Stegostoma tigrinum: one gene and its partner. The protein of the gene in region 2 interacts with the protein of the main gene of each other region in a pairwise test. Links are inferred from orthologs where the notes say so. Each region holds a gene or a part of one and is shown on either strand. Other genes may lie near its edges.

Region 1 (15,993 bases), on a different chromosome or scaffold from region 2:
ACACATTAAGAGAAACAGAGCATGTAGTCTTCTTGGCAACTTTGTACAAAGGATTACAATTTTTAATTAAATTATATCTTAATTCAGTCTTACAGCATTAGTAAGAAACCGAAAGTTGATATCCCTTGTTCCAAGCACAATTTTGATTATCTGTATTTTTGCTACCACTGTTAAACATGCCATATCGCACTGATTTTGCCCCATTGCAATCCACCTTAAAATAACGTCTTCCCATTTCAAGTGAAGTACACCATTCTTTTGTTTATTTACCTGACAGTCTAAATTTCTCTTCGGTTTCCTTTCATAATGCACACTGATGTTGGCTAAATATCATTCATACATATTTTAAAGTAATTTTTCAACGTCTTATGTTTTACTTTACTTAATACACAATTTCACAACTTGAACATTTTTCCACAAAATTAATTCTTTCCCCAAGTCAGCATGAATGCACTCTCTCACTTGGCTCAGTGTAATCACTATTCCACAGTGGCAGTATCAAATACAACAGACGATATAACAAAAAAGTGACAACACAATTCTTAACCCACAACACATTTTTATTTTATTCCAAAATTTAGATACTGACTGATATATAAAAAAAGACTTACCAGCCGCAGATCAGCCAGGAAGACACTCTTCCTCCTGGAACTCCTAATCTATTGTCAGAAGAACAATTCTGTTGACATGGTAAATGTGCTAATCTGCCTCAAAGAGCCACATGCTTGCTTCATTAAATAAATGAAACAATACTTAACTCTAGGAATGATACACCAAACCAGGTTTACAAAAACAAAAGAAATTGACCATATTCTCCTTATCTCACAAAATCCACAGAACAGCTACAACTAATCTATTTTCCTTTTATTACAATCATAAGTCTTACCCAAGACGTGAACTGTGCATGTATTACTTATCTTAAAATGGCAAATGCTTGGCTTACATCACACATGCATATCAACGAGTATAACTTGGAGAACATTTCTAACCAAGGAAAACTGAACTGTTTCCAAGACTGAATAAGAAAAAAAAACTAGATCTTGCGAAGTTTTTTTAAATTCATGCAAGGATGAAGGCATCACTGGCTATGCAGCATTTATTGCCGGCCACTAATAGCCCAGAAGCCTATTAAGTGTCTGGAGTCACATGTAGGCCAGACCAGGTAAAGATGGCAATTTCCTTCCCTAAAGGGCATCAGTGAACCAGATGGGTTTTTTCCAACAATCGACAATGGATTCAGGGTCATCAAGATTGTTGATTCCAGATGTTGTATTGAATTCAAATTCCAATTACACCACCTGCCATGGCAGGATTTGAACCCAGGTCCCCTGAACAATGATAATGGGAACTGCAGATGCTGGAGAATCCAAGATAATGAAATGTGAGGCTGGATGAACACAGCAGGCCCAGCAGCATCTCAGGAGCACAAAAGCTGACGTTTCGGGCCTAGACCCTTCATCAGAGAGGGGGATGGGGTGAGGGTTCTGGAATAAATAGGGACAGAGGGGGAGGCGGACCGAAGGTGGAGAGGAGAGTATAGGTGGGGATATGGGAGGGGATAGGTCAGTCCAGGGAAGACGGACAGGTCAAGGAGGTGGGATGAGGTCGGTAGGTAGGAGATGGAGGTGCGGCTTGGGGTGGGAGGAAGGGATGGGTGAGAGGAAGAACAGGTTAGGGAGGCAGAGACAGGTTCGACTGGTTATGGGATGCAGTGGGTGGAGGGGAAGAGCTGGGCTGGTTTTGGGATGCGGTGGGGGAAGGGAAGATTTTGAAGCTGGTGAAGTCCACATTGATACCATTGGGCTGCAGGGTTCCCAAGCGGAATGAGTTGCTGTTCCTGCAACCTTTGGGTGGCATCATTGTGGCACTGCAGGAGGCCCATGATGGACATGTCATCTAAAGAATGGGAGGGGGAGTGGAAATGGTTTGCGACTGGGAGGTGCAGTTGTTTATTGCGAACTGAGCGGAGGTGTTCTGCAAAGCGGTCCCCAAGCCTCCGCTTGGTTTTCCCAATGTAGAGGAAGCCGCACCGGGTACAGTGGATGCAGTATACCACATTGGCAGATGTGCAGGTGAACCTCTGCTTAATGTGGAAAGTCATCTTGGGGCCTGGGATAGGGGTGAGAGAGGTGGTGTGGAGGCAAGTGTAGCATTTCCTGCGGTTGCAGGGGAAGGTGCTGGGTGCGGTGGGGCTGGAGGGCAGTGTGGAGCGAACAAGGGAGTCACGGAGAGAGTGGTCTCTCCGGAAAGCAGACAGGGGTGGGGATGGAAAAAATGTCTTGGGTGGTGGGGTCAGATTGTAGATGGCGGAAGTGTCGGAGGATGATGCGTTGTATCCGGAGGTTGGTGGGGTGGTGTGTGAGAACGAGGGGGATCCTTTTGGGGCGGTTGTGGCGGGGGTGGGGTGTGAGGGATGTGTGGGATGTGTTGCGGGAAATGCGGGAGATGCTGTCAAGGGCGTTCTCGACCACTGTGGGGGGAAAGTTGCGGTCCTTGAAGAACTTGGACATCTGGGATGTGCGGGAGTGGAATGCCTCATAGTGGGAGCAGATGCAGCGGAGGCGGAGGAATTGGGAATAGGGGATGGAATTTTTGCAGGAGGGTGGGTGGGAGGAGGTGTATTCTAGGTAGCTGTGGGAGTCAGTGGGCTTGAAATGGACATCAGTTACAAGCTGGTTGCCTGAGATAGAGACTGAGGTCCAGGAAGGTGAGGGATGTGCTGGAGATGGCCCAGGTGAACTGAATGTTGGGGTGGAAGGTGCCACACCCGGCACCTTCCCCTGCAACCGCAGAAAATGCTACACTTGCCCCCACACCTCCTCCCTCACCCCTATCCCAGGCCCCAAGATGACTTTCCACATTAAGCAGAGGTTTACCTGCACATCTGCCAATGTGGTATACTGCATCCACTGTACCCGGTGTGGATTTCTCTACATTGGGGAAACCAAGTGGAGGCTTGGGGACCGCTTTGCAGAACACCTCCGCTCGGTTCGCAATAAACAACTGCACCTCCCAGTCGCAAACCATTTCCACTCCCCCTCCCATTCTTTAGATGAACATGTCCATCATAGGCCTCCTGCAGTGCCACAATGATGCCACCCGAAGGTTGCAGGAACAGCAGCTCATATTCCACTTGGGAACCCTGCAGCCCAATGGCATCAATGTGGACTTCACCAGCTTCAAAATCTCCCCTTCCCCCACCTCATCCCAAAACCAGTCCAGTTCGTCCTCTCCCCCCACTGCACTACACAAACAGCCCAGCTCTTCCCCTCCACCAACTGCATCCCATAACCAGTCGAACCTGTCTCTGCCTCCCTAACCTGTTCTTCCTCTCACCCATCCCTTCCTCCCACCCCAAGCTGCACCTCCATCTCCTACCTACCAACCTCATCCCACCTCCTTGACCTGTCCGTCTTCCCTGGACTGACCTATCCCCTCCCATATCCCCACCTATACTCTCCTCTCCATCTTCGGTCCGCCTCCCCCTCTGTCCCTATTTATTCCAGAACCCTTACCCCATCCCCCTCTCTGATGAAGGGTCTAGGCCCGAAACGTCAGCTTTTGTGCTCCTGAGATGCTGCTGGACCTGCTGTGTTCATCCAGCCTCACATTTCATTATCTTCTATTCCCCTGAACAATGTTTGGGTCTCTGGATTAACAGTCCAGCGATAATATCACTGGGCCACTGCCTCCCCCAAGTACTTACTAGTAGTCAAATCAGTACAACCTGTGTTAATTAACAGACACTGGAGTTGAATAATTAATGCTTTATTTATGTGAAAATATGCAAGAGCCAAAAAGTTGGGAAGCATTAACAGATTTCCTGAAGATTTGCTCATGATTAGCCAAAATACAACAGAAATTCAGAAATTTTAACTTCTCTTTTCCCTCTCATCACCACTCACAGAAGAGAAATAAGGCCAATGAAAAACTGAAAAAAATCAGTTACTTTATTCCACAATCAGTACCTCTCATAACTTCTGAAGTACAATTGTCGTCGACGGCAGTCGTCCCTTGATTCGAGGATGACATCTACTTAGCGTTGCAAGTTTGTGCCATGGGTCTTCATGTGATTGAATAGGCCGATGCTCGACCCACAGATTTTTGGGCACATGGAAGTAAATTGGGCAAGACAAAACTTCTTCTGCCGTGATAAAGTTTTGCAGCACAGCAAAATCCTGTGAAGTCCATTGCAGAAAAAGTCTTATTATATATCACAAAGCAGCATCATTCAGTCATGCAGTGCTCAGTCGCCAATAGCTGGTAAGACAACATCCCACTTTCAATGCATAAATGAAGCTTTACTTCACACAATTTCCAATTTCCCATGGTGCACTATTGTGCATTCTGCCTCGTCCTCATCCAAAGAAAACTGTCATAATTAATGCTTTAATAGTCTATTTCAAGCAATGCTAGAAATAACAATGCACAAGGAGGAGACTGCATCTACATAAAGGGAGGTGAAAATTTGAGAACACTGCTACCAGAATCCTAAATTAGCATAATGCTGTAATAGCAAATATAGAAATTTTGCTAATAAGACAAACAAGGCAAATCTGTGATCACTGAAAGTGTTGATCTCTTGCGATTATTCTATCAAAACATGCAAAGTACTTTAAATATAAATTTGCAGCTTATTTTTGTAACTGTTGAACTTAATTTTTTTAAAAATATATCTAGGCAAATGAGTTACTGAGACTTGCTGGAAACATTTAGAAAAACAGCGAGAAAGTTACTCAGCAAAATGCCATGTCACTGGTTTTAACATGTCAAAAGCACTACATGAATGTATTACGTGTAGATGTTACATGCCAAACATGAGCCACAGGCGGAAAGAAAATTATTGACTATTTGCTCAACATTATGAATTGTTGCTGGCAATGAATAGACTGAAAAAAAATCATGCAACACACCAAAGGTATTCAACCACAACAGCATCATAAAAGACTCACCACTAAATTTTGCTCACAAGTGATTGATTGAATGAAATTTAAAACAAGTTGTATTCAATTTAAATACACTAAGTACTCACTAACTTCATTTCCAAACACCAAATAAAACAGCAGTCAATCAACACAGAAACAGCCCAACACCATCTCACTTATATATAGACCATTTCAAAAATACAAGCAATGACTTACACCTCCACATAAGTGGGATTTTCAAGACAAGCTAATGATGTTCAAATCAATTCCAAATTACCACAAGTAATGTTTTCATTGCATGCTGAAAATTGGATGGGAGGTTTACAATATTTGATTTGAAAACTAGTTATAAAGCTGGATCTCCATTATCAATTTTTTAATACATACAATTTAAAATATTTCTGTTATCTTAAATGGTGCAAGCTCGTGGACAAAACTGTTCAAAACTGCTAGAATTTGAGATTTTATTGCATTAGGCAGCCTGTTGTGCTTCTCTATAATTCTGTGGAATTTTTTATAACACATCCAAGAATGAGTACAGTATTGCCATTCTACTATGACTCCACAGTTTTCCTTGTATATCAATGCCATTTAACATTAGTTTCAAAGGTTGCCTGGGAAGCAAGATCAAAATGGACATAAATGAGCATGCTCAACAGCAGATTACTCAGTCCAGGAAAATGAAAAAAAGCATTGAAGGCATTAGGAGTAGGAAGAACCGTTTTAAAAACCCATAAACTCAAGTATTCCAAAATTACAACAGAAAGCACAAGAACCAATGAGAATTTGCAGGCATTAAACTTGGCTGGTAATTACTGCATTTATTTGTTACTAGTTGTATTATCAAACAATTTCAAGTTACACTGCTTTGAAACTTTCTGTTTCTCAATAACTATACTGTTATCTTTAGCTGTTACACTTTAAGTTTACTGGCAACAGCTGAAACGGTTGAGAAAAATGAATCACAATCTTAAAGAAAGTTTCCGTATTTCCCACATAAATTTAACAACTCAAATTAGTAATTACTGTTTCTGTTCAGGCTTTCATCTAACATTTAACACCACAATACGAAAGCAGCTTCTCCAATCAAAGTGAGCCACACAGAACTGAAACTTGTTTTTTATACATATTGTGAATAAGATACTGTATGTTATGATAGATATCACAGGTTTGGCCACCACTATACCTTCATCACTTTGAAAAATATCAGATTACAAAAGCTGAGTTCCAGAGTTCAAGCTCAAACTAATATTTATGTGCAAGTGTCCCAGAAAGTAATGAACAATATAGTGCTTGATTTCACACACAGTTCACAAACTGTTTTTAAGCAAATCTTAAACAGCTCTTCTTGACATCTATGGTCAAACATCACATGGACTAATGCTTCCACAAAATTCTCAACTTCTAGAAATGAAATTGGCAGCACAACCAGGGATTACAATCAATACGACCATGCAAAGATTAGGCTTAAAATAAATTCCATTTTAAGTTCAAATAGATGCCTCAAATTGACAGTGTCACCAGAATTAAAATTAAGATATTGAAATGTTCACTCAAATTAGATTATTTGTAAGAAATTTGCCTACTTCCCATCCTCTACAGATCTTCTGATACAAGCACCTAATGGGAGCCAACTATGAAGAATGACTTGTAATGAAATTCAATTAAAATTACTTTCACATATCATAATTCGGTCCACGTAAAAGGAAACTTGGGCTCAGGTACAATGAGACACAGCTGACTTCAGCCTATAAACAAAAAGCATCAAACAAAGCAACTTCACTACTTAATGCAAAAAGCACCAGTTTTGCCATGTCTATAGCTTCAATTCAAATAAACTGTACAACCACAGAAATGTACGACTCTCTAAGTGAATCTCAAACAATTTATCATCTATACACCAGCACATTCCAACGTCAATTATTCCTTTCAAAAATAAAATCAAGAAAAATTTATCTGCTCTACTGAAGATGCAAACACAAACTTTCTCACTTACACAATCTAGATTAATCAGGGTAACTGTAGTAACCATGATGCTTTCATGCACATACCCAAAAGCCAGGACAAGTTGGAAACAAACTGAAAAATACATTTCAAGAATACAGATCAGCTCTGCCAAGCCACTTATAATGTAGGCCAAATGCTGACTGCCTTCACGAACACTTTCACACCCTAGATCATTTCAACTTTTAAAATATTACTGAAATCTTAGCTATATGCGTGTTATTAACATGGGACTGCAGATGGCTTTTTTTTTCCAAAATGGTGAACTGTGATACTTTTGTGTTAAAATCTTTCTAGGCATAAAACAATTCACTTCTTTATCTTCCTCCTGTTGCAAAGCTGCCAACCCACCTGCCGTTTTTTTTTTAAAAAGTCATCCCTGGCTGCAATGGACAAATTTGCAGTATGAAAACACGCCGTTTGTTCTACGCTGTATGACAGCACAAATTACTACTCAAAAGAGTGGTTCCTTCATTCATTTTTAAAACAAATATATTTATAACTAGTTGGAACAGCTGGAAAGGGAAGGCATTTTTGTTTTCACGTACGCCTGCGATGGCAAATGCAAAAATTTCGACCAGGAAGTGTGGAGGCTCTGCAGCCTCAACAGACCGAAAGAGTCTCACTGAACCAGACAAATACGATTCTCATAAGTCCACGATCCCCTCTGACTGACTGAAGTTGGGAGAGAGAAAATGCCTTCACTCTGAACCCAACTCATCAAACGTCGATCAACCGGACCAGCGGTGTCACCGGTAATTTTAGCACAAAGCGAAAAGTGCATGTGGCATCACTCCGAAGAAAAACAGACCTCCCCACGCCACCCGCCCCAGCACCCTCGGTGGGAGCGATCACAGAATGTAAAATAAAATGCACTGAAACCGGAAGAATTTCCAAGAGAACAACAGGCAAGGCCTGTCCAGCAGAGATTCTTCCCCCAGGAAAAGGCGAGATGGAGAGCAGACGTGTTGGGCCCTGGGGAGACTGTCTCTCTTTCTCTCAGCAGCAACGCCGCACAAACCAGGTCCCAAAACCTCTTACCTCCTCTTCACTCTCGTTTTTGAAGCACAAACAGGCCGCTCGCTTCTTGTACCCGTCCCCATCGTAAGTCCGAGTCTGGTTTTGCTTTAATTTCATCATTTATGTTATTTCAGTAAACTGTCTTGTTTCAATTCTACACTGTGTTTCCTTCCCTCCCCCAAAAGAAAAAAACTTCGCATGAGAAGAGAAGCAGAGAACTCCCTCAGTTGTGAATTGTATTTTTTTTACTGAACGACGAAGGAAGACTGATCTTCAGCCGCCGGGACGACCTCGCTTCATATTGCCACAGCCACTCTCTCCGACACCAGCGCCGCCGCCGATACTACGGTCGCCATCATCATCGCCACCTCCACTACTCCTCCTGCTACCGCCGCCGCCGCCATCTTGGCTGCCCTGTGCCTCAACCGAACCTGCTACACAAAGGCAGTTTGTGGGGTGGGGGGCGTGGGGAAAAGGGACACGTGGGGGGGCAGGGCTTGTTCCCAGGCCCAGCCAATCGGCAGCCAGGAGCGTGCCCCGTTCGCCAATCACGTCCGTGGCGCGCCGATGCCCCGCCCCGTCAAGCAAATTCGGTAGAAAATGCCTGAGCTCCATTTCCATCAATGAACGCTCAGAGCCGAGAGGGGGCGCAGCGGATGTCCCCCCCGCCTCTATCTGTGAGACCAATGTATGGGAAGACAAAGCAAAGGCCATTTGTGTGTATAATTGTGTCTTTCTTGAATGTAACGTTCACGTGTTTTGTTGATTTTAAATGTGGAAGTTTTTCTTTCCTTATTCTGTTCTATATAGTGAAAAGGTGCGGCTGTACATTAATCTTTTTAAAAAAACTATTTCCAAAGATGAACTAAAATTACATATAATGCTGTGGGTTGAGATATCAAATACAGTTTCTTTTTCAGCTGTAATGAAACGGGATAGGCTGGGATTGTTTTCCATACAGCAGAGAAGTCTGAAGTGGTAGCTGATTCAGGTGTACAAAGGGGTAACCACGAGTCACATCTTTAAGGGAAGGAGCATGAGCTTTAGCGGGGATTTGAGAATTTTATCTCACCGAGAGTATGGCAGAGATCTGGAACACAAGCTAAAAGGACATTTGAGGCAGGAACCGTGAAGACAATTGCACACTTGAAATGTCAGAGCACATAAGCCTACAGGCCAAATTTTGCAGGATGAGATTAGAATATAGATGTTTGTAAACTACACGGACATGATGGGTAGAAGGCCTTTTTATACAGTAAAAGATCTATGACTTTATTTTATACTTATTCATGTGACAAACTTAGTAAGTTTGAATTTATCCTGTCTCCTGGCTGGTCTCCCATCGTCCATTTGAGGAGGTCCAAAATTCTGCTGTTGGTGTCCTAACTCGCACTAAGGCCAATTTCCCCACGAGAAATGATCCCTTTATGTGCTGCAACAACCTTAAGTTCATTATGTTTTCTAGTACACGTCATATCTTAAAGGGGACAATTTGTCAGCAAGATTCCTGGTATGTTTTGGTTGCTGTTTAGCACATAAATGTGCAATTTAGAAGGACCGTTGCACATCATTTTTTGTACTCACTTACCTACTTTAGTTGGGTTTGGACACCACCTCAAGTGAAAATTCTTGTCCTTATTTCCAAATCTCTCCATGGCTTTGTCCCTCCCCAGTCTCAGTGACCACTTCCAGTCACAGAACTCTTTGAGATAGCTCTTCGTCCTAATTCTGGTTTCTTGCGCATCGTCGATTATTATTGCTCTATCATTGGCGGTACGACTTTCAGTTGCCAAGTCTAACCCTGGAACTTCCTCCCTCCACTCTCTGCCTCCCCACCTTTTTCTCTCCTCCTTTAAGACATTCCTTAAAATCTACTTCTTTGAACAAGCTTATGAATAATTTGTATTTATGTCGTCTATTCCTTTTTTTAGTTTGATTCCCACTCTAGATCCTTTGTGATTGGTAACTATTTTACTGAAAGTACATTTTTGAAGTACCGATGTGACAAAAATCGAAAGTTAGTCATCGGATTTTACAAAATAATTTATTCTTTTCTTTACATTTTGTTCTAAAATGTGGCTCACCTGTTTTTGTTCAGATTTTCTGGGATCTTTCTTGCATTGTTGTTCTCTGTTGCTTTATTATCTAGTTACAACGGAATAAATACACATCACCAAAAATCCGCCTATAAATGATAATTCAGCAACAATGCTGTACAACAAAAGGGTGAAGCGATTCTTCTATTTACTTTTAAAGCGGCCTCTCTTATTGCGTTGTTCTGGAATGAGAACTTGCTCCCCAACGGTTCACCGAATTCGGGCAATTGCAGTCACCAACTGTCGCCGAATACTAGTTCAATTCAAACCGGTACCAGCGTTTGATAAAATGTTTCAGACTTTCCCCATTGTCTTCCACAACCTCAACAAACGGAAATACCTGCTGCCAAACGAAGAGGAGAGGTATTCCGAGATGCAAGACCTAGCCTTGGAAAACTGGCAAGAGCTGACCACGTCCAGATCGGTGCCAGATTCCTCACCATCAGGGGGCAGGGCAGTGAGCCAAAGAGAAGGCGCCCTGCTGGAAGACTTGAAAGATCTCCAGATGTTGCCCGAAGGGTCATACGTGGTGAGTGGGTCCAGTTTGCGGCCAAAACAGTCAACTGCGCCACCAAAGTTCGAAAACAGGCCTGTCCCTCCGGAGGGATTCAGGAAGGGGATGTTAGAATCTGGGATGAAAGCGTCGCCCAAACCACCAAGTCCTTCCACGGAATTGCAAATGCAGTCACCAACAAACACAGGCTCGAGACGGCACACATGTAGTCCGGAGAGGAAAAACAAGTGAGTGGCAGTTTAAGAGAAAAAAAGACCCATTTTGTACGTAGAAATATTTTCCGTGACCTTGTGAGTTCGGTACACTTTCCTCTTTCATCCTGGTTTCACATTCAAGTCAGTTTCGTGTGACACAAAAGCCTCAACTGTTAGGGCCTCGAACAACTAGTTCTAAACAGGCTCGACGCTGCAAAAATAGTCATTCAGCAGCGAAACACAGCCTTGGGCCCAACTCGTACACGAGGACCAGGTTCTCTAAACCGAACTAGTCCTATTTGCCTGCATTTGGCCCATATCGTGCTACACGTTTCCTATCCATGTATCTTTCCAAATATCTTTTAAATGTTGTAATTGTACTAAACGACTCCAGCATCTGTAGTTTCTACAATCTCTGAAACAATTTTAGCCACGTTGCTTCTAACGAAGCATGGACATAGCTAAGTGAAAAAAAAATGCGACTGTCAATTTTGTGACAGCCCTATACACCAGGGTTGTAAGCAGCAAATGTAGAATTGACAAATTTCCCTTCAATTACTGGCACTCTGACCACTGACATTTGCCTTTCTAAAGCCTGCTTCTCAGAAAATATTTACATCAAATTTGGTAGATGTTCCTTAACTTTAAACATTTTTACTTCACAATTGATGGGAATTTTGAGTTAGGGTTAGCATTCGTCTCAATGGGAAAGGGTATGGTATTTTTGGCTTAATCCATTTTGAGCAGACCGACTTAACTATTGTTTCTGCATTGTAAATAAATTTGCCGTATTACTGAAGAAAGGAAAAATTTGCCATGCCAGGAGTGTAACAAGGATTAACCAAACTCAATTTAGGGCTGATAGTACTGTCCTATTAACAGAGGTTGAGGGGACTTGGCCTGTATTCTCGAGAGTTTAGAAGCATTGAAGCAAACAAAATTCTTACAGGGCCCAAGAGGTTTTGTTTATTCGTTTACAGGATGTTGATGTCACTGACTTACTCCCCATCATTGCTCATCTTTGACAAGGTGATAGTGAGTTGCCTTCTTGAATCGTGTGGGGATATTGGGGAGGGGAGTAAGTGCTTGCTGAGAAAAAGGGGATTCCAGGATGGATAAAGAAAGACTGTTTCCTCTGTCCAAGGTGTCCAGAACTTTGGATCAGAATCTCAGAATAAGAGCTAGGTCATTTTGGGCTGAGTTGAGGAGAAATTTCTTCACCCAAAGGGTGATTGGAATTCTCTACAGTGAAGGGCCAAGGTGCTTCAATTATTGAATATGTTCAAGATAGAAGTCGATAGAGTCCTAGATATTAATGATATCAAACAGTATGAGGATAGTTCAAGAAAAGGGCAATGAGGTAGAAGATCAGGTATGATCTAGGTAAATGACAGAACAAGGTGGGGGGAGAATGTCTTACTGTTGCTTCTGTTTCCTTTGTTCTCCAAAATATTCTAACACATGCTGTCCCTTGCACAGAGACCTTCTACTCCTCCAGCATCCCTTCTATTTTTTAGAGGTCCTCTCCCCTTCTGATCCCACTTCAGTTCAGGAAAGGTAGCCCCTGCAGATTCTGTGCAGGTTTGCCTTTTATTTGAAACACCTGTTCCTGTTTGGAGCCAGTAATGCCCCTTCCTGTTGTAGACCCCACAGTTTATAACTGCAGTACCACCTCCCCCACACCCCACCTCCACTGACTACCCTACTAATTTACACAAGCCCCCTCCTTCATTGATCTGTTTTTAATGGTTTGCATTCAGTTTATAACTATTGCTCTAACTTCACTTCAGGAGCAGTCTAATAACCCTGTGGGCATAGTTTCCAAACCTGTTAATGGGACCATAAATTTCTCACTTCCAGTTTTCAACACCAAATATATTCCTGGAATGAAGGAAGCAAGAACTTTAGGTTCAAAGAAAGTAGAACTAGACAGAAATGTTTAAAAATAAGAGGTCTCAGACTTAAGATGAATATCAGGGGATTTTTTTTCTCTCAGAGGGTTGTTAATCTCCAGACTTCTCTTTCCTTAGAGGTGGGGGCCTTTGAATAATTTTAAGGCTAACTTAGATGTATTCTTGACTGACAAAGAAGTCAAAAGGTACAGGTGACAGGCAGGAAAATAGAGGCCAAAATCAGAACAGTTGAAACCTAATGAAATGGTGGAGCAAAGTTCAGAGATTGATTTGATTGATATATTTTTGTCACATGTCCTGAGATACAATGAAAAGTGTTGTTTTGCATGCTATGTAGGCAGATTATATGCATCAAAGGATCAGGGTAGCAGAATAAAGTGCAGAATACACCATTTCAGCCACAGAGAAAGTCCAAAGAGAGAGATCAGAATTAATATTTGAAAGGTCTGTTCAAATGTCTGATAAGGATGGGGAAGAAGCTGCTCTTGAATCTGTTCATACATGTATTCAAACTTTTATATCTCCTGCTGGATGGAAGATGGTGGAAGAGAGTATAAGCAGGGTGGGAGGGGTCTTTGATTATATTGGTTGTTTTCCTGAGACAGTGGGAAGTATAGATAGAGTCAATGGATGGAAGCCTGGTTTGTGTAATGGACTGGGCTCTGTCCAACTTCTGCTCTTAACTTATATATTGTTATGTCTGTATATATATTTGAACATTAGCCAGAGCCAACGGTAAGAAAACTACTAATGGGATGCACTAATATCAATTTACCACTCAATATCATTGCAGAAAATGAAGGATTGGATTTTATATTCATTCATATGCTACCCCAGGAATTATAAACATGTACAGATATGAGTAATTTACTTTTTCCTGACAAACCTTCTGTCAGCCACATTTGTTTAAAGAGATTGGAATGGTGGAAATGCACAAAGATCAATTCCCTGACCAAACAATCAAAATAATTTTAAACAGGATGTGTTAACCTTACAGAAATATAGACAAAGGCACCTCACCCATAGTAATGGTTGATGCAAATATTTCTGCAAGGGGTCTCGCAATTTTTTCCCTTACTTCTCAAAACACTCTGGGATACATTTGATCAGGTCTCAGAGATTTACCCACCTTTATCGTCTCTAATACCTCCTGAATGTCCCTTTCTATAATGTTAACTGTTTCTAAAACATCAAAATTTATTTCTCTGCATTCTGTAGACTCCATTTTTCTCCTTTCTCCACAGTAAAAACTAATGAGAAATATTCATTTAGTATCTTTCCCATCTCTTGGGGTTCAACTCAAAGACAGCCTCCTTGGTCTTTAAGCAGCCCTACCCTCTCTCTAGTTACCCTCTTTCTGTCAGTATATTTGTAGAACTTCTTTCAATTATCCTTAACCTTATCTGCCAATGCTAAACCATATCCACTCTGTGCCTTCCAGATTTCTTTCTGAAAATGCCCTACACTCTTCATACTGATTAAGAGATTCTATTGAACCAAGTTGTCGATGTCCTAAATAAGGTTCTGTTTTATTCTTGACTAGAACCTAAATATCTTTATTCATCCATTGTTGCTTAATCTTACCAGCTTTACCCTTCACTCTAGCAGGAACATAATGCCTCTGAACTCTTGTCATCACATACTTGAAAGACTCCCACTTTTCAGTCATCCCATTATCTGCAAATAGTCTACTCCAGTCAACTTTTGAAAGTTCTTGTCTTATAGCCATTAAAATTTGCCTTACTCCCATTAAAGCTTTAAATCTTATGGAAGGTTTATCCATTTCCATAACCATTTTGAAACTGATGGCGTAATGACCATCAGACCCAAAGTGTTCCCCCACTTTAACTTCAGCCACCTGCTATCTACCCCAAAGAATGACTAATTTTGATTCTTGGTGATCAGAGATAATGGGAACTGCAGATGCTGGAGATTCTGAGATAACAAAGTGTGGAGCTGGACAAACACTGCAGGCTCATAAGATGCTGCTTGGCCTGCTGTGTTCATCCAGCTCCACACTTTGTTATCTCTAATTTTGCTTCTTGTCTAGAAGGAGCATACACATATTGTCAAAAAAGTCTTCTTTAACACATTTTAAAAATTCATCATTATCCAAACCTTTAACATGATGGTAGCCCCAGTCAATGTTTGGAAAATTAAAATCCCCCATTATTACAACCTTATTATGCTTACATATGCCTGAGATCTCCCTATGTATTTGTTTCTCAGTTTCCTTCTTACTAGGGGGGCCTATAAGACAATCCCATCAAGGTAATCGTTCCTTTCTTAATTCTAACTTCTACCTATATATTTTCACTGGATGATGTTTCAGAAATATCTTCTCTGGTTATAGCAGTAATGTATGTTGATGAAGGGTCTAGGCCCGAAATGTTAGCTTTTGTGCTCCTAAGATGCTGCTTGGCCTGCTGTGTTCATCCAGCTTCACACTTTGGTATCTCGGTTTCTCCAGCGTCTGCAGCTCTCAGAGATGTCATTCCTACTGATATGTATAATAATTTTTGGCTCCTCAATCTCACCTTTAACAATATGCTGGAAACTTTTGGAGATGTCCTTAATTCTAGCACCAGGTAGGCAACAAAGCATTCTAAATTTACACTGACTGCCACAGAATCTCCTGTCTGTGCCCTTGACAGGAGAGTTCCATATAACATTAATTCTATTAAATTTTGTCAAATAGCGCCTAATGTAAAAATCATTCCAAGTGTCCAAATAACTGATGCCCCCTTCCATTTTCCTCGGAGAGTCTGTCCCCTTCAACAGTTCCATAAACTGAATATCTGTTTACCTGATATGCCTAGGGCTGAGAGGGTAATATGCACCATTGCAGCCTTGTGTAAGTGAGTTGGGCAGGGACTTTGGTAATTTCAAAGCCGACAGGGTTGACAGGAAGTGCTTGAAGGAAAGAGATGTTTTTGCTTCAGAGTTCATCGACATGGAGAGGTAAAGCCTGGAACTCACTGTCTAAAGACTGCCCACTGTTGTCTTCCATTGTTCAGTAAATTGCAAATGTGTAATGGAAATGATTATGACCACAACCAGGGTAAGTGCTTTGTTCTGTGAAGGAAGGTGCCTCAACTTTGCATGAGCTGAGGACCTTCAAATGGCAAAATAGTTCAATTCTATACATTGCATGAATGAGATCTAAGAGCACTACTTTCGTTGTGACTCTTACGCATTAGCCAAATCTGTGCAGTACAAAACATCCCTGACCAGGCAAGATGGTTGATCCCCACTTAATTTATGTGCTTTATGGCAATATTTTCCTGCCTGGAAGGTCGACCATACTTGCCAAGGCAGCATTCACTG
Region 2 (16,067 bases):
CATCCTTACAAGTTGGTTCTTTGTTCAATGATGGACATGAGACTGTCAACTTGCACAGCCTGTTTCATACACAGCAATAATGAGCTGATCATGAGCTGAGGCACCAGGGAATCTCTCCTTTCGTGTCTTCAAAATAATATGAGGACACAATTCCCAAGGGGGCACCTTCTGGCTTAAGCTCAGCATTAAGTTTTGGCATGGATTTGAAATCCAATTCAGGTCTTGTCCAATTTCCTCACTGATCCATGCTCCAGCTCAAGTGAAATCTGCTGTGTCTCTGAGGACCCAGCAGGATATTAAGCTGGGCAGTGAAGAATTAGATAACAACATCTGACAGCAACATCATAATCGGCTTGTGATGACGCTAAATTACCTTCCTTAAAAAGAAAGCTGTCTTTTTTTTCCCCTGTTAAGTTCTCTTTGGATTTTATTTAATTTGATGGGAATTCAAATTTTCTCACTGCAATGGCGACATTTCCATTCACCTTCTCTGGGTTATTAGTTCAGGTCCAATAGCATAACCACAAATCTATCCCAAATTCTCCATTTCTTAAAGCAGTCTGAATGAGAATAAATTATAACAAACAACTTTTCTTCCACTGACTTTTACTGAGGCTCGATTTCACAAGCATGATCACTCAAATGAACAATGTAACCTTGCACAGTGTACATCACCAAGCCATTTGATTTGGTAGTGTCATCTTGGCCTGATTTTATCCTGCAGATTTCTGTGCACACACACTTTGCACGCTGGGTATCACTAAGAGAAGGGGATAGTTAATCTTTCTAAACTGAGCCTTGTTGCTGCAGGAAAAGCTAGCTTGTCGCAGGCTAGGCTAGCCCTGGGGCTTCCCTGATCTGTTTTGACTCCATTCCAAGCTTGCTGGTACATCAAAGTGCACATTACCAAAAGCATCTTGTCCTTTCAGTGCGAACTGCTGTACACTACCTTCCTGAAGGAAAGAGGGAAATGTTAATCTACACTGTGCTAATTTGTCTGCAGCAGATTCCTAGCATCTGGTAAGACAATTTTTGCGTTTTTTTTTGAAAATGACAAAAATACACGACAGAATGACAACAAAGGATGTAAACTACAGGGGCATAAGTTACAAAGCACATCTTCTGCAGCTGTCAACATGGTAACCTCTCACTTCCACATCTCCCTTAGTTCGCCTCCACTCTAAGATAGTTGCCCACACCATCCACCTAAAATCACCCGTCTTTGGTTGTCCTGTTGAGGCGGTGGTGTAGGTGGAGAAGCACACTCATCTGGTTCCATTCTTCTGTCAAAAGTTCAGAATACCTACAATTGCTTCCCCGTTCATTCCTGTGCCAGTAAGTCTGATCTTCCTCCAAGCCACCTCTTCTCCTCTCTTCCTACTTCTCATCCACACACTGCTCTTTGATGGCATCATCCAAAGACACCTCTAAGTGGACACTGATGCCATCAAGCTCACATCCCATCCGAATAAGAGACTAGAAAGCCAATTTGTGTGCAAACTCTCAAAAACAGCACTGAGTTAATTTTTAATGCTCACTAACTCATTGTGTGTTTGCTGGAGTAAAATGATTCACTGAAACATCTGAGGATTGTAGCATTCAGAATGATTCTACAGTAGAACCATTTGATGGTATATACAGTAAAGCATTTATTATGCATAAAAATCGGACTGCAAAATTTGATACAAATTTTGCTCTACAATATGTAAGTCCTAATATTATGAAAATTGATTATTTGGTCATTATCTAACAGTAGATTGTAGGGAGGGATCCTGTACATAAAATAGCTGCCATGTTTCCCTATGTTACAAGGGTGGCTACACTTCAAAGTACTTAATTGACATAAAGGGCTTTTGGACATCATGAGGCTGTAAAAGACTGGCTGATTAGTCGAAAGGATACACATCAGTTAGGGCATCCAGGATTAATCCCCTGTTATTGGGATTGGGGGAGTAGATCAGTCAGCCTTTTGAGCCTGTTCTGTCATTCAACGAATTTAAGGCTGATCTGTGGTCTAACTCCATTTGTTCCATATCCCCCTTAATACCTTTGCTTTAAATAAAAACAAATCTAACTCAGATTTAAAATTAACTCACCTAGCAGCAACAGCTGTTTGTGGTGGAGAGTCCCAAATCTTCTAAAGAACGGCCATGGGATCTTTCAGATTTGCTTGTGAGGATACCTCAGGGTTGCAATCAATCTTTTAAAAATTCTGATCATTATGCACTTTTGTACATCACTAATTGAGATTAAATAGTTTGATTTTATGCAAGGCAAAAGCTGCAGAGAACAGCAAACAATTCTGGCTGTCACAGTCCCAATAGGCCCGAAACGTCAGCTTTTGTGCTCCTGAGATGCTGCTTGGCCTGCTGTGTTCATCCAGCTCCACACTTTGTTATCTCGGATTCTCCAGCATCTACAGTTCCCATTATGTCTGTAGTACATGTTGGCGAATGGAAAGAATCACTTCTTAGATGCATGACACCATTTATTAACAATTCAGGGGAGGTGATGGAGTCAGGTACAATGACAACATTTAAAGGGCATTGGATGGGTACATGAATGGGAAAGTTTAGAGGAATATGGGCCAAATGGGACTAGATCACAGATGTGTTGAACCAAAGGGTCTGTTTCGTGCTGTATAATTCTTAGCTGAAAGACAGCACCTGCAACAGTTCAGCCTTCCCTCGGCATTGCCCTGGAGTGTCAATCGTCCAAAGTGGATAAAAATAAATCAGAATTTTATCTCCATAAGAAACATTGCTATCCTCAGCCCAAGCTGCACTGAGTCTCAGTCATCCATTACTCATCATTATTGATTAAAAGTGTTCGGAGATTCACAACCACCTTACATTTCAAGTTTTCTCTTTTTGCATTTGAAAATATTACTGGCACTGCCTCCCCCACTATCCACACACCCCATCCAATAACCTTGCCCAGTCCTTCAAACATTCAGGAACTCTGCAATCCACCAACTCCGACCTCTGTTGTTCACCCGATTTCCATCCTTCCACTGCCTGGAAACCATTGATCTTCTTTCCCAAAATGCCTCCTTTTCGTTCCTCCTCTTTGACCAATAACAACCTATATTCAAATAGCAGCAAAATGAAGCATGCCAAGGTACTTTGTAGGAGTATTATAAAACTAGTATGACACAAAAGTACATCAGCACACCTGAGGAAAGGGCAATGCTCTGAAAGCTAGTGTGTTCAGAGAAACCTGTTGGACTATATCCTGGAGTCGTGTGATTTTTGACCTTGTCCAAACCAGTCCAACACAGGCACCTCCACATTGAGGGGATATCAGGTCAGATTACTTCTTTTGTCAGAGAGGTAAGAATAATATGGAGGAGGAAAACAAGGCAGAGAGGCATACAAAGTGTATTCCAGGGATTACAGCCCAAACAACTGAAGACACATCCACAACTATGGTGCAGAAAAAAAAACAACAGATGTGCAAGACCAGGGACACAGCAATCAATATATCTGGAGGGTTGTGAGGAAGACATTATAGACACAAGGAGAATACAGCCACCCAAAAACAATTTTGAAAATTTTTAAAATCAGGGTGTTGCTTGACCTGGAGCCACCTCAGGTCAGTGGGCACAGGAGTGATGAGGGAACCTGGGCTTACTGCAAGTTAAGACAGAAGCTAAATGAATATTTTTCAACAGTATTCACTCTAGAAAACGACAATGTTGTCGAGGAGAATACTGAGATACAGGCTACTAGACTAGGTGGGATTGAGGTTCACACAGAAGAGGTATTAGAAATCCTTCAGAAGGTGAAGATAGATAAGTCCCCTGGGCCAGATGGGATTTATCCTCGGATCCTCTGGGAAGCCAGGGAGGAGATTGACGAGCCTTTGGCATTGATCTTTAACTCGTCATTGTCTACAGGAATAGTGCCAGATGGCTGGAGGATAGCAAATGTGGTTCCCCTGTTCAAGAAGGGGAGTAGAGACAACTCTGGTAATTATAGACCAGCGAGCCTTACCTCAGTTGTTGGTAAAGTGTTGGAAAAGGTTATAAGGGATAGGATTTATAATCATCTAGAAAAGAATAAATTGATTAGGGATAGTCAGCACGGTTTTGTGAAGGGAAGGTCGTGCCTCACAAACCTTATTGAGTTCTTTGAGAAGGTGACCAAACAGGTAGATGAGAGTAAACCGGTTGATGTGGTGTATATAGATTACAGCAAGGTGTTCGATAAGGTTCCCCACAATAGGCTATTGTACAAAATGCGGAGGAATGGGATTGTGGGAGATATAGCAGTTTGGTCAGAAATTGGCTTGCTGAAAGAAGAGAGGGTGGTAGTTGATGGGAAATGTTCATCCTGGAGACCAGTTACTAGTGGTGTACCACAAGGGTCGGTGTTGGGTCCACTGCTGTTTGTCATTTTTACAAATGACCTGGATGAGGGCGTAGAAGGATGGGTTAGTAAATTTGCAGACGACACGAAGGTCGCTGGAGTTGTGAATAGTGACGAAGGATGCTGTAGGTTGCAGAGAGACATAGATAAGCTGTAGATCTGGGCTGAGAGGTGGCAAACGGAGTTTAATGCAGACAAGTGTGAGGTGATGCACTTTGGTAGGAGTAACCGGAAGGCAAAGTACAGGGCTAATGGTAAGATTCTTAGCAGTGTAGATGAGCAGAGAGATCTCGGTGTCCATGACAACAGATCCTTGAAAGTTGCGACCCAGGGTGACAGGGCTGTTAAGAAGGCATACAGTGTTTTAGCTTTTATTAATAGAGGGATCGAGTTCCGGAACCAAGAGGTTATTGTGAAGCTGTACAAAACTCTGGTGCAGCTGCACTTGGAGTATTGTGTAGAGTTCTGGTCACCGCATTGTAAGAAGGATGTGGAAGCTTTGGAAAGGGTGCAGAGGAGATTTACTAGGATGTTGCCTGGTATGGAGGGAAGGTCTTACAAGGAAAGGCTGAGGGACTTGAAGCTGTTTTCATTAGAGAGAAGAAGGTTGAGAGGTGACTTAATTGAAACATATAAAATAATCAGAGGGTTAGATAGGGTGGATAGGGAGAGCCTTTATCCTAGGATGGTGACAGCTTGCATGAGGGGGCATAGCTTTAAATTGAGGGGTGAAAGATATAGGACAGATGTCAGGGGTAGTTTCTTTACTCAGAGAGTAGGAAGGGAATGGAACGCTTTGCCTGCAACGGTAGTAGATTCGCCAACTTTAGGTACATTTAAGTCGTCATTGGACAAGCATATGGACGTACATGGAATAGTGTAGGTTAGATGGGCTTGAGATCGGTATGACAGGTCGGCACAACATCGAGGGCCGAAGGGCCTGTACTGTTCTGTAATGTTCTATGTTCAGAGTTTTAGATGACCTAAGATCCAGAGGATAAAATGCAAGAGGGACAGCTAGGAATGTGCCAGAATAGTCATGTCTAGAGATAACTAAGTCACAAATAATGGTTTCAGATGTACTGAAGTACAAAGTTGTGCAGTGGTACAGAGGTGGAAACACGGTCTTAGGGCACAATGAATAGGAGATCAGAAATGCATGATCAAATGTGACATCTGAGATGCAACCAGCCTGGTTTAATCTCAGGCAGCTGCCACTAGCAAGGATGGAGTCAGTAGCTTGGAAAACAGCTTGAGTTTCCGTACCAGGGTCACTGGGCCCGAAAGGATAACGCTGCTTCCCCTGTATAGATGCTGACCTGCTGAACCTTCCCAGCAACTTCTGTTTTTGTTGCTTAAAAAACAGATTGGCCCAAGGGCTTAATCGCCTACCCTGATATCTCCTTCCAATCACAGTCACAATGAGCGTTTTTGGTCTTATGCTGTTGTGAAGAGAATGGTAGATACATAAATGCAAGCTGCAATTGTTATTCACTACAAAGAGCAAGCTGTTATTATGACAAGGCAGGGCAAACAGCACTAGTTAGAAATGAAACAAGGCCACTGCAACACGAGTCGAGACATCCACGCAGACAATGTCAGCCAGTAACCAGAATAATTGGTTGCGTTACCCTGATTCCAAAACTCTTAATACTCACTGATGTCTCCCATTGCTCTCTGCACCGCTCGGCTGCTGCAGCCACTTTCCATTTTCAGGCCAGCTGGGCACCGTCACGTGATGCGACAACGCTACTTTGCGATTGCAACATCGGAGGTACTCTGCGCATGCGGCACATGACAGGCCTGTGAAATCCCCATGCGGAAGTGGAAGGAACTGAGTGAGAGTGTGTGCGTTTTGAGGTTGGGGAAAGCGGATGGTATCATTGCAAAACATTTTAATGGGTCGAGTTGGGTTGATTAGTTTGTGAGGATTATCGAGGGAAGAATTTATGTAGAGTCTGATTAATGATTGTTTGAAAGGAAATCTGCCTGATGGGAACACCCTGAAGTGCTGAATAAGTTCCTTCCACTACCCCCCCCCGCCCAGTTAGAAAGGTTTTACAAAGATGAATAACAGTGCCAGAGAATTTCATCGGGTTCTTCTTACCTCCATTTTAGTTACAGCCAGCTGGCAGTGTATTACAGTTAATAAGGAAAATAATTTACAAAATTATTTTTAAGCATTTGGATTTCACAGCATTAAAATAGAAATCGTGCAAATACTCAGCAGATTACACTCTAACTGTGGAGTCGCAATAAGATGTAGGAAGAATTTGGCGCTTACGATGACGAGAAACTGCCAGCGTTTGCTGTGACCATAATTCTGAAACTGTCATCGCATTCGCGCAGCTAGTGATTAAAATCTGGTTGCAAATAGGAGCAGGTTGTACACCATTCAGTCCTTCGCGATTTTTCTGCCACTCAGATTTGATTATGACTGATCGTCCAACTCAGAATCCTGTTTCTTTTTTCTTCCCATATCCTTTGATCGTAGAATGATAGTGTCTCCACAGTGAAGCCATTCGATTAATCGAATCTGTAATGACTCTAAAAGAGCATCCCACCTAGACCCATTCCCAGTCCCCACTCCGTCCCCCGAGTTGAGTGGGGTTTTTACCATAGCTAACCCCCGGACCTACATTTCCCCTACATTATGGGGCATTTATTTTAACATGCCAATCAATCTAACTTGCACATTTTTCGACTGGGTCCCTTTAGCCCTAAGAACAATATTTTGCCCCTTTTTGAAAAAAAATTCAATATTTTGGGGCCTCACTTGCTTTTTGTGGCCGAGAATTTCACAGGCTCACCACTCTCTGGGTGACGACAGCTTTTCTGATGAAGGGTCTAGGCCCGAAACGTCAGCTTTTGTGCTCCTGAGATGCTGCTTGGCCTGCTGTGTTCATCCAGCTCCACACTTTGTTGTCTTGGATTCTCCAGCATCTGCAGTTCCCATTATCTCTGGGTGAAGACAATTGGTCTACCTCATCTCCTTACATTGTGAGCCCCAATTCCAGACTCCCCAGTCACAGAGAACATGCTTTCCACATTTACCCTCTATGAGATACCTAATTCATTCATAAGATCGCAAGAACCTGGAGGAAACCCACACAGAGAATGTACAAACTCCACATAGACAGTTGCCTGATGAAGGGTCTAGGCCCAAAACGTCAACTTTCCTGCTCCTAAGATGCTGCTTGGTCTGCTGTGTTCATCCAGCTCCACACCTTGTTATCTGGAATACAATAGGCAGCATGGCAGCTCAGTGGTTAGCACTGCTGCTTCACAGCGCTGGGCCTGAGTTTGATTACCCTTGGGCAACCATCTATGTGGAGTTTGCACATTTTCTGTGTGTCTGCCTGGGTTTCCGCCAGGTGCTTGTGAGCTTATGAATGAATTAGGTATCTCATAGAGGGTATATGTGGGAAGGATGCTCTCTGTGACCAGGGAGTCTGGAATGGGGCTCACAATGTAATGAAATGAGGTAGACCAATTGTCTTCACCCAGAGAGTGGTGAGCCTGTGGAATTCTCTGCCACAAAAAGCAAGTGAGGCCAAAATATTGAACATTTTCAAAAAGGGGCAAAATATTGTTCTTAGGACTAAAGGGACCCAGTCCAAAGATGTACAAGTTAGATTGATTGGTATGTTAAAATAAATGCCCCATAATGTGGAGGGATGTGTAGGTTGGGGGGTTAGCTATGGCAAAAACCCCACGCAACTTGGGGTGGGGATGGTTCTGGGTCTAGTTGGGTGCTCTCCGGAGAGTCATTACAGACTCGATTAATCAAATGGCTTCTTTCTGAACTGTGGAGATCCTATCATTCTATGATCAAAGGATGTGGGAAGAAATAAGAAACAGGATTCTGTATTCCAGTTGTCATTTCTTTGCCCACTCTGTTAGACTGTGCAAGTCATTCTGCAGCCTTCCTGTCTCCGCAACACTACCCCACCCCTTCACTTATCTTGATATCACCTGCAAACCTAGTGATAATGCACTTAGTTCTTTCATCCAGGTCGTTAATGTATTATCTGAATAACTGTGGTCCCAAGACTGATCTCTGTGGAGCTTCATTAGTAATTGGCTGCTATCTTGAGACAAACCTCTTTAAACCCGCTCTCTGCTTTCTGCTAGTCAGCCAATTCTTCATCCATACCAGTACCTAGCCCCTAACACCATGGGCTATTATCTTATACAGCACCCTTCTGTGCAGCACCTTCGTAAATGTTTTCTGGAAATCCAAATAGATCACATCCATTAGCTCTCCTTTGTCTAATTTGCTCATTAATTGAGGCCGGTTTGTCAGGTATGATCTCCCTTTGATGAAGCCATGTTGACTCAGCCCTATTTTACCATGCACTTCCAAGTACTCCACAACCTCATCATAAATAATGGACTCTAAAATATTACCAACCACAGCAGTCAGACTAAGCAGTATAGAATTTCTCATCTTCTGCCTCCCTGCTTTCAAAAAAAGGAGTGTTACATTAGCTACTTTCCAGTTCTCTGGTACCCTCCCTGACTCTAGTGTTTCTTGAAAGATCACCACCAACGCTTCCACAATCTCCTCAGCTATCTCCTTCAGAACTCTTGAGTGTAGTCCATCCGGTCCCGGTGATTTATCCACTTCAGATCTTTCAGCTTCCTCAGCACCTTCTCCTTAGCAATGGCCACTACACTCACCTTATGATTCTCTTAAAGGTCAGAAATGCTATTGATGTCTTCCATTGCGATTGCTGATGCAAAGTACCAATTCAGTTTCTCTGCCACTTCTTCGTTCCCCATTACTCAAAATGGATTCATTTTCCTGCAGTCCAGTGTCCACCCTTGCCTCTCTTTTAACTTTTATATGTCTAAAAATACTCTTGCAATCTTCTTTTATATTACTAGCCAGCTAACCCTCATGTTTTATCTTCACCTGCCTTATTGTTGGACTCCCTGATCATCAGGAGCATCTTCCTTGAATTTATCCTGTCTCACCCTGTGAGAATTTATAGGTTTCAATAAGAGCCTCTCCTCATTGTTCTAAATTCCAGTGAATATATTCTTAACCAATTCAGTCTTTCTTCATATATCTGTCCTGTCAACCCAGAAATTAGTCTGACAAACCTTTGTTGCACTACCCCCATAGCCAGAACATACTTCCTTAGGTAAAGAGACCAAACGTGTACACAATACTCTAAGTATGGTCTCACCAAGGCTTTCCTGCTCCCCCACAGGATTTCCTGCTGCAGACCCTACAAATTATTTGATTGAACATCAATTTCACCAATGTGCTGTTAAAACAAATGTTCCAAAGATCAGTCATACTTGAAATATTAATACTGTCTCTCTCTTCAGAAATGTTGACAGACCTGCTGTATTTATCCAGAACATTTCTATTCCCGAAAAATTATGTTTTGCCAAGTGAGGTGTAACTGTTTATTGTAAATATCAAGTCATCATTACGTATGACCAGCCTCTCCCGGCCTAATATTGTATTCATAGAGAAGGACAAATTTCTATATCCTGATAAAAATTCCAGATTTTATTTTAATGTGTTTTTTTCAAACATGTGTTTCCAATATTTTAACAATATTCTCAAAAAAGATGTGGATGTGGCACTTTTTTGTTGCCTGTCCCTAGTTGCCCTTGAACTGATTAGCTCTCTCAGACATTTCAGAGGCCAATTAAGAGCTAACCACACTGCTGTGGGTCTGGAGTCATGTATAGGCCAATCCAGGTAAGAGCAGCAGATTCACTTCCCTAAATGACATTAATAAATTGGATGAATTTTTTTACAACAATGGCTACATGATTACCATTAGACTAGTTTTTAATTCCAGAATGTTTTTCATTGGATTCAAACTTTCCCATGTCTAGGATTCAAATCTATGTCTCCAGAACATTAGCCTGCATTTCTGGATTACTAGTTCAGAGAATTACCATCATGTCCCATACCATATTTTAATTCGTGGGGCCCAATCTTTGGTTCACTCTCTAAAGTTCTCCAAAAGTGAATGAGAATTTGTGCAATTTTTTTTTCCTGATTTGTGCTGTGAGATATGCCCACAGTTTGCAGCTAGTTCTGTTAGGATCTTTCTTGGCCAGAGATCCCGCCACCAATCCCTCTTGTTAGTACTACGTGGTGGTTTGATTAGCCTAGTTGGCTTGGTGGCTGGTTTGCAGTGTGACACCAACAGTGCAGGTTCAATTACCTATACCACCTGAGGTTAGCAGGAAGGTCACACCTTCTTAACCTTATGCCTCGTCTGGGGTGTGGTGGCTGTCGTGTTAAAACCGGCGCCAGTTATATCTCTATGATGAGAGAGTAGCCCAAGTCATCCTCATCCCTGGGGGCCACCAAAGAAGAAGAAAAAAAGTACTATTCTAGGGACTTACTAATACTGAGTGATGAAGGATTACCACAAAAGCCTAGGCAGAAGGTGTTAGGTTCGTTTTCAGAGACCCTCATGGACTTGATGCAATGACAAGACACTGACCTGTTTAGGAAAACACAGATCCTTTATTACAAAGCAAGTACAAGCTGTGGAGGATCACTGTACTCAACCCAGCACAGAGTGCAGAGTCTCGTAAGCGATTCTCCCCGAGCAGGGGACAGCCCCCGCTTTTTATACTTTATCGGGTGCATACTACATAAAGCAATGTTACATCTCACAATGGCATGTTACATGAAACAATCACTACATCGGACAATGACATGATACACAAACAATTACCACGTCGAAAACATAAAGAGAGCAGGATACAGTATCGATCGTTCGTGAAGTAACTGCTAACGGCAGGAGGCAATTTCAAGCTGCCGAAGTGACAGAATGTAATTTCAAGCCACCAAAGTGTCTGGCTTGAACAAAAGTCAGTGCCCTGGCCTGTTTGGCAGAGACTGAAGGTACATTCTTTACAGGATCTCAGAAGTCTCACACCTTTACAAACGCTGCCCACCTAATCTTATTTGAGACAGTTTCCACATACCCCTGTGCAGGAAGATAAAGACTTACACAGTTTATACCTAATTCTATTCAGGCAGGAAGCTTAAGGCAGTGTTATTCTACCTATGTGTAGGAAGATAAGGATTTACAAAGTTTTACACTTAATTCTAGTTGGGTAAGAAGTTTTAAAGAGATAATGGGAACTGCAGATGCTGGAGAATCCGAGATAACAAAGTGTGGAGCTGGATGAACACAGCAGGCCAAGCAGCATCTCAGGAGCACAAAAGCTACGTTTCGGGCCTAGACCCTTCAGGCCCAAAACGTCAGCTTTTGTGCTCCTAAGATGCTGCTTGTCCTGCTGTGTGCAACCAGCTCCACAGGAAGTTTTAAGGCAGTGTCTGCATACCTCTGTGTAAGGAGATAAAGAGCATTAATTTATAGTGAATATAGAAATCAATGGGATGCTATCCCAATAACATCTCAAGGGGGCTCAGTCTTGGGTAACCAAAGTTAATTAGATAAGGAACAGGTTACAGTAACATTAAAATGGTTAACTATATTATACTTGGTAAGAGATAGACTGGGCTAACCTAAGTTCATGGTTGTTAACAGCAGAGGTGAGATTAACAAACTGGATCAGCGCAAAATGGCTGGTTTCTTCCTGAGACAGTCACTTATATACTGCTGGGCAGAGCCATACAAAGGCTTCGGAATTAATCCATTCAGGTTAACTATCTTCTGATGAAGGGTCTCTGTGCCCGAAACTTTAACTCTGCTTTCTCTCCACAGATGCTGCCAGACCTGCTGAGTTTCTCCTGCACCTTCTTTTTGTCATATACAACATTTTGTTTGCTTAGAATTCTTTAATCTGACTGTCTGCTTAGCTCACCTGATGTCATCACCTTTGTTGGACACTTGGAGATCCCACAGACTCTGTACCAGAATCAAGGTCTCACTGGGAAGGGGGAAATCCATGTCAGACAAATCATTAGATCTTTGTGGACAACTTTATATGGGGTTATTGGCACTGATTGCAAAATCTAGCCTAATGATTCAGGTCAATGTTGTAGATTGTACAGGTTTTAAGTAAGTTTGAAACAGAAATGGTAGATAGAGTCATGGAGTTACACAGCACGGAAACAGGTCCTTTGGCCCAACCCGTCCATGCCGACCAGGTTTCCTAAACTGAACTAGTCTCATTTACCTGCAGAAAAAAACAAAAAGGAATGTCTGTGACAGTGTGGGAAGCAGGGGTGGTTAAGTTATAAAAGAGACAATGGTGCAAGATAAAAGGGGATGGTAATGGGACAATAAAATTATTTAAAAGGTAAGTCTAGAGGAGCCGAAAACCACAAAAACAGATTTTCTGAAGAAGGGTCTAGGCCTGAAATGTCAGCCATCCTGCTCCTCTGATGCTGCTTGACCTGCTGTGTTCATCCAGCTCTACACCTTGTCATCTCAGATTCTCCAGCATCGGCAGTTCCTACTATCTCTTCATTACCAGAATGCTGGTTATGCTGCTTTCCAGTGAAATGAGAGCAATGGTTATGATCTGAAATCATTAAGCCCGGAGTTTGAGTCTGAAAGTCTCTTTAGTTCTTAATCAAATGATATTGCCCTTCAAACTTCTGTTGAGCTTCATTACAACAACATAGGAGCATGAGGATGGAGAGGCTTGATTGCAGTGGGCTGGGGAAGTAAGTATTATATACATCTGTCTCGGATCACAGAGCGTATCCAAGTGGTTCTTTTTGGATTTGGTTAAAATGTAGTTAAGAGAAGGCTCGACAACAGCAATTTTCTTAAGGGTGTACATTTATTGAGTAATAATAAAGATGAAAACGGAAAGCAACATTTATTAAGTAAATGAGAAGAATGAAAAAGAGAGGGAAACAAAACAATAAGCCTCACGTCTTTCTGGCCATCAGGGACCCATCGATTAACGGCTGGTCCGGAGGCTGAGGATGTTTCTGGCACTGCTTGTGATTTCAGTCCAAGGTGAAGCCCAACTCTCAGAACAAAACTCTCTCTGAAACAGTTTAGCAGTCAGCGCAGCGAACGCAGATACGGAAGTCAAAACTGCTTGTTAATACAGAAAACAGCTACAGGAAAACAAGCTGCAGGCGTTATCTTAAACCTATAAAGCAATGTTCACAGGACTCATTCAAGATCATGCAGATTGTCAAAGTGTCATCCTTAACTTTCCCAGCCTACTTTCCCATCCTATACAGTCTGTTTTCCCATGCAGATGTCGAATATTATCATTAGCGCTAAGCCCTTCACCCCACCCTATAAAACATCTTGTGAAGCAAAGGGCAGAATCATGTTCTAATACAAGACCATCATCAAGATCTGCTGTAAGGAGTGAGCTAACCATGCTGCACAATTCATTAGTCCTACACATGGGCCTTTGCACTGAAGGTTAAGGTTATTAGGAACACATTTTGGCATACTGCCCATTGCAGGGATATGGGGCCATGTGTGAACATGGTAAGCATTTGGGTGCTCCATAATCAAACAGATTAAAGAACCATTACTCAGCAGTGTTGTCTGAAGCAAGATTGTGACTTGGAATATTAATGTCATATCAAGTACAGTTAGTGAAAAAACATAGACCAGAAATGAAAGAATGCATTCAAGATGAAGATAAAAGTGGCCGAAAGAAAAATATTGTTTTGAAAATTAAAAACATTTATCTAAAGGAATGAGAATAGTTATTAAATAAAAACCAAAAGAACTGTAGATGCTGGAAATCAGAAACAACAACAGAAATTGCTGGAAAAGCTCAGGAGGTCTGACTGGGGAGAAATCAGAGTTAACATTTCAGGACCAGTGACCCTTCCTCAGAACGCTATGTTACTTTGCACATTAATTATAGATATTCCCCCAGCAATGGTTCATTGGATAAGTGAATCTTTGATTTGGCACCCAACTCACAAAGAGGGATCTAGATTTGACCAACGCTGAGCTGGCTGATTTCAAACGTAAAAACTTCAATGATCGCTCATGTTTATAAGGCGCCTTTAGCGTAAAATGTTTGCCGCTTGATTTAGTGTCCTTTTGAGAGAGAGAAGATGAAAAAAAAAGCAAGGCTTCTAGAACATTGAAAAGTACAGCACATGATGTTGTGCCGTGGAATAATCCTAATCCAAGAATAAAATAACCTAACCTACATTCCCCTCAATTCACTGCTGTCCATGTGCATGTCCAGCAGTCGCTTAAATGTCACTAATGGCACCGCTTCCACGACTACCACTGGCAAATTATTCCATGCGCTCATGTGAATTGCTGGCCAATGCCTCCAGCTTGACTTACACAAAAAAACTGCAACATGGGGTCAGATACCAAATGCCCCTGAATAGCTTTTATCAAAAGTCAAATCTGAATTATGATCTAGAAAACCAGTTTCAGCTTTACGGAGATAACACAGTGTGGAGCTGGAGGAGCACAGCAGCCCAAGCAGCATCAGAGGAGCAGGAGAGTCGACATTGCAGGTTGGCACCCTTCTTCAGAAATTGGGAGCTCAGAAATCAATAGAGAGGAGGGGGTGGGGCTGGGGAAGGTGGTTGGGATAGTGATAGGTCAGTGCAGGTAGGCAGTGGTGGGGATTGGTCAGTGAGGTGGGAAGAGTGGATAGTGGGAGAGAAGATGGACAGGTTGTGTCAGGTCATGGAGGTGGGCACCTTCCTGCAAGAATGCGATCCCCTACTCCCAATTCCTCCAGGTCTGCTGCATCTGCTCCCAAGATGGGGCATTCCACTCCTGCACATCTCAGATGTTCTCTTATTTCAAGGACTGTAACTTGTCCCCTCTGGTGATTGAAAATGCCCTCAACTGTATCTGTGTTTCCTGCACCTCTGCCTCACACCCCCTCCCCCCAACAAAAACAAAGACAGAATCCCCCTTATTCTCACATATTACCCCATCAACCTTCGCATGCAACATATCATTCTCCGCCACTTCCGCCACCTGCAATTCCACCCCACAACCAAAGAGATATTTCCCTCCCCACCCCTACATGCCTACCATAGGGAATGCTCTCTTCATGACTCCCTCATTTGCTGTACACTCCCCACTAACCCCAACATCCCCGGCACCTTTTCCTGCAACTGCAGGAAGTGCTACAACTGCCCCTACACCTCCCCACTCACCTCCATTCAAAGCACAAAACAAACCTTCCACATTAGACAGCGGCTCACCAGCATGTCCGCTAATGTGGTCTATTGCGTCCCTTGCTCCCGCTGTGGCTTCCTCTTTGTCAGTGAGACCAAGCAGAGGCTCGGAGACTGTTTTGTAGAGCATCTGTGCTTGGTTCAAGACAAACAACACCTTCTGGTCACAAACAATTTTAACTCCCCCTCCTACTTTTTGGGTGACATGTCCATCCTGGGCCTCCTCCAGTGTCACAATGACAACACCCACAAACTGGAGGAGCAGCACCTCATATTCTGCCTCAGGAGCCTACAGCCCAATGGCCTAAACGTGGACTTTACCAGTTTCAAAATCTCCCCACCCCCCAGCCTCATTCCATGACCAAACCTTCCTCTCATTCCCCCCTCCTTGACCAGACATAACCTGTCCATCTTCTCTCCCACCTATCTGCGACTCCCATCTCGCTGACCAATCTCCATCACTCCCTACCTGCACTGAACTATCACCATTCCCCTTCCTTCCCAAGCCCTACCTCCTCCTGTCTCTATTTATTTCTGAGCTCCCTTCCTCCTCCCCATTTCTGAAGAAAGGTCCCGATCCGAAAGGTCAGCTTTCC

The links.
Region 1: the proteins of ankyrin repeat and SOCS box protein 13-like (region 2) and diphosphoinositol polyphosphate phosphohydrolase 1 interact in a two-hybrid assay, tested with the Homo sapiens proteins (2 studies listed by BioGRID and IntAct). The link is inferred for Stegostoma tigrinum from reciprocal best matches to the Homo sapiens genes ASB13 and NUDT3.

The regions. Positions count from the first base shown.
Region 1 is NC_081374.1:28,466,927-28,482,919, forward strand, and holds the start of diphosphoinositol polyphosphate phosphohydrolase 1, read right to left. Parts: upstream 8,399-15,993; 5' UTR 8,070-8,398; coding exon 7,971-8,069; intron 1-7,970. UniProt on the Homo sapiens protein: Cleaves a beta-phosphate from the diphosphate groups in PP-InsP5 (diphosphoinositol pentakisphosphate) and [PP]2-InsP4 (bisdiphosphoinositol tetrakisphosphate), suggesting that it may play a role in signal transduction.
Region 2 is NC_081378.1:11,546,522-11,562,588, forward strand, and holds the start of ankyrin repeat and SOCS box protein 13-like, read right to left. Parts: upstream 6,145-16,067; 5' UTR 6,081-6,144; coding exon 6,029-6,080; intron 1-6,028. UniProt on the Homo sapiens protein: May be a substrate-recognition component of a SCF-like ECS (Elongin-Cullin-SOCS-box protein) E3 ubiquitin-protein ligase complex which mediates the ubiquitination and subsequent proteasomal degradation of target proteins.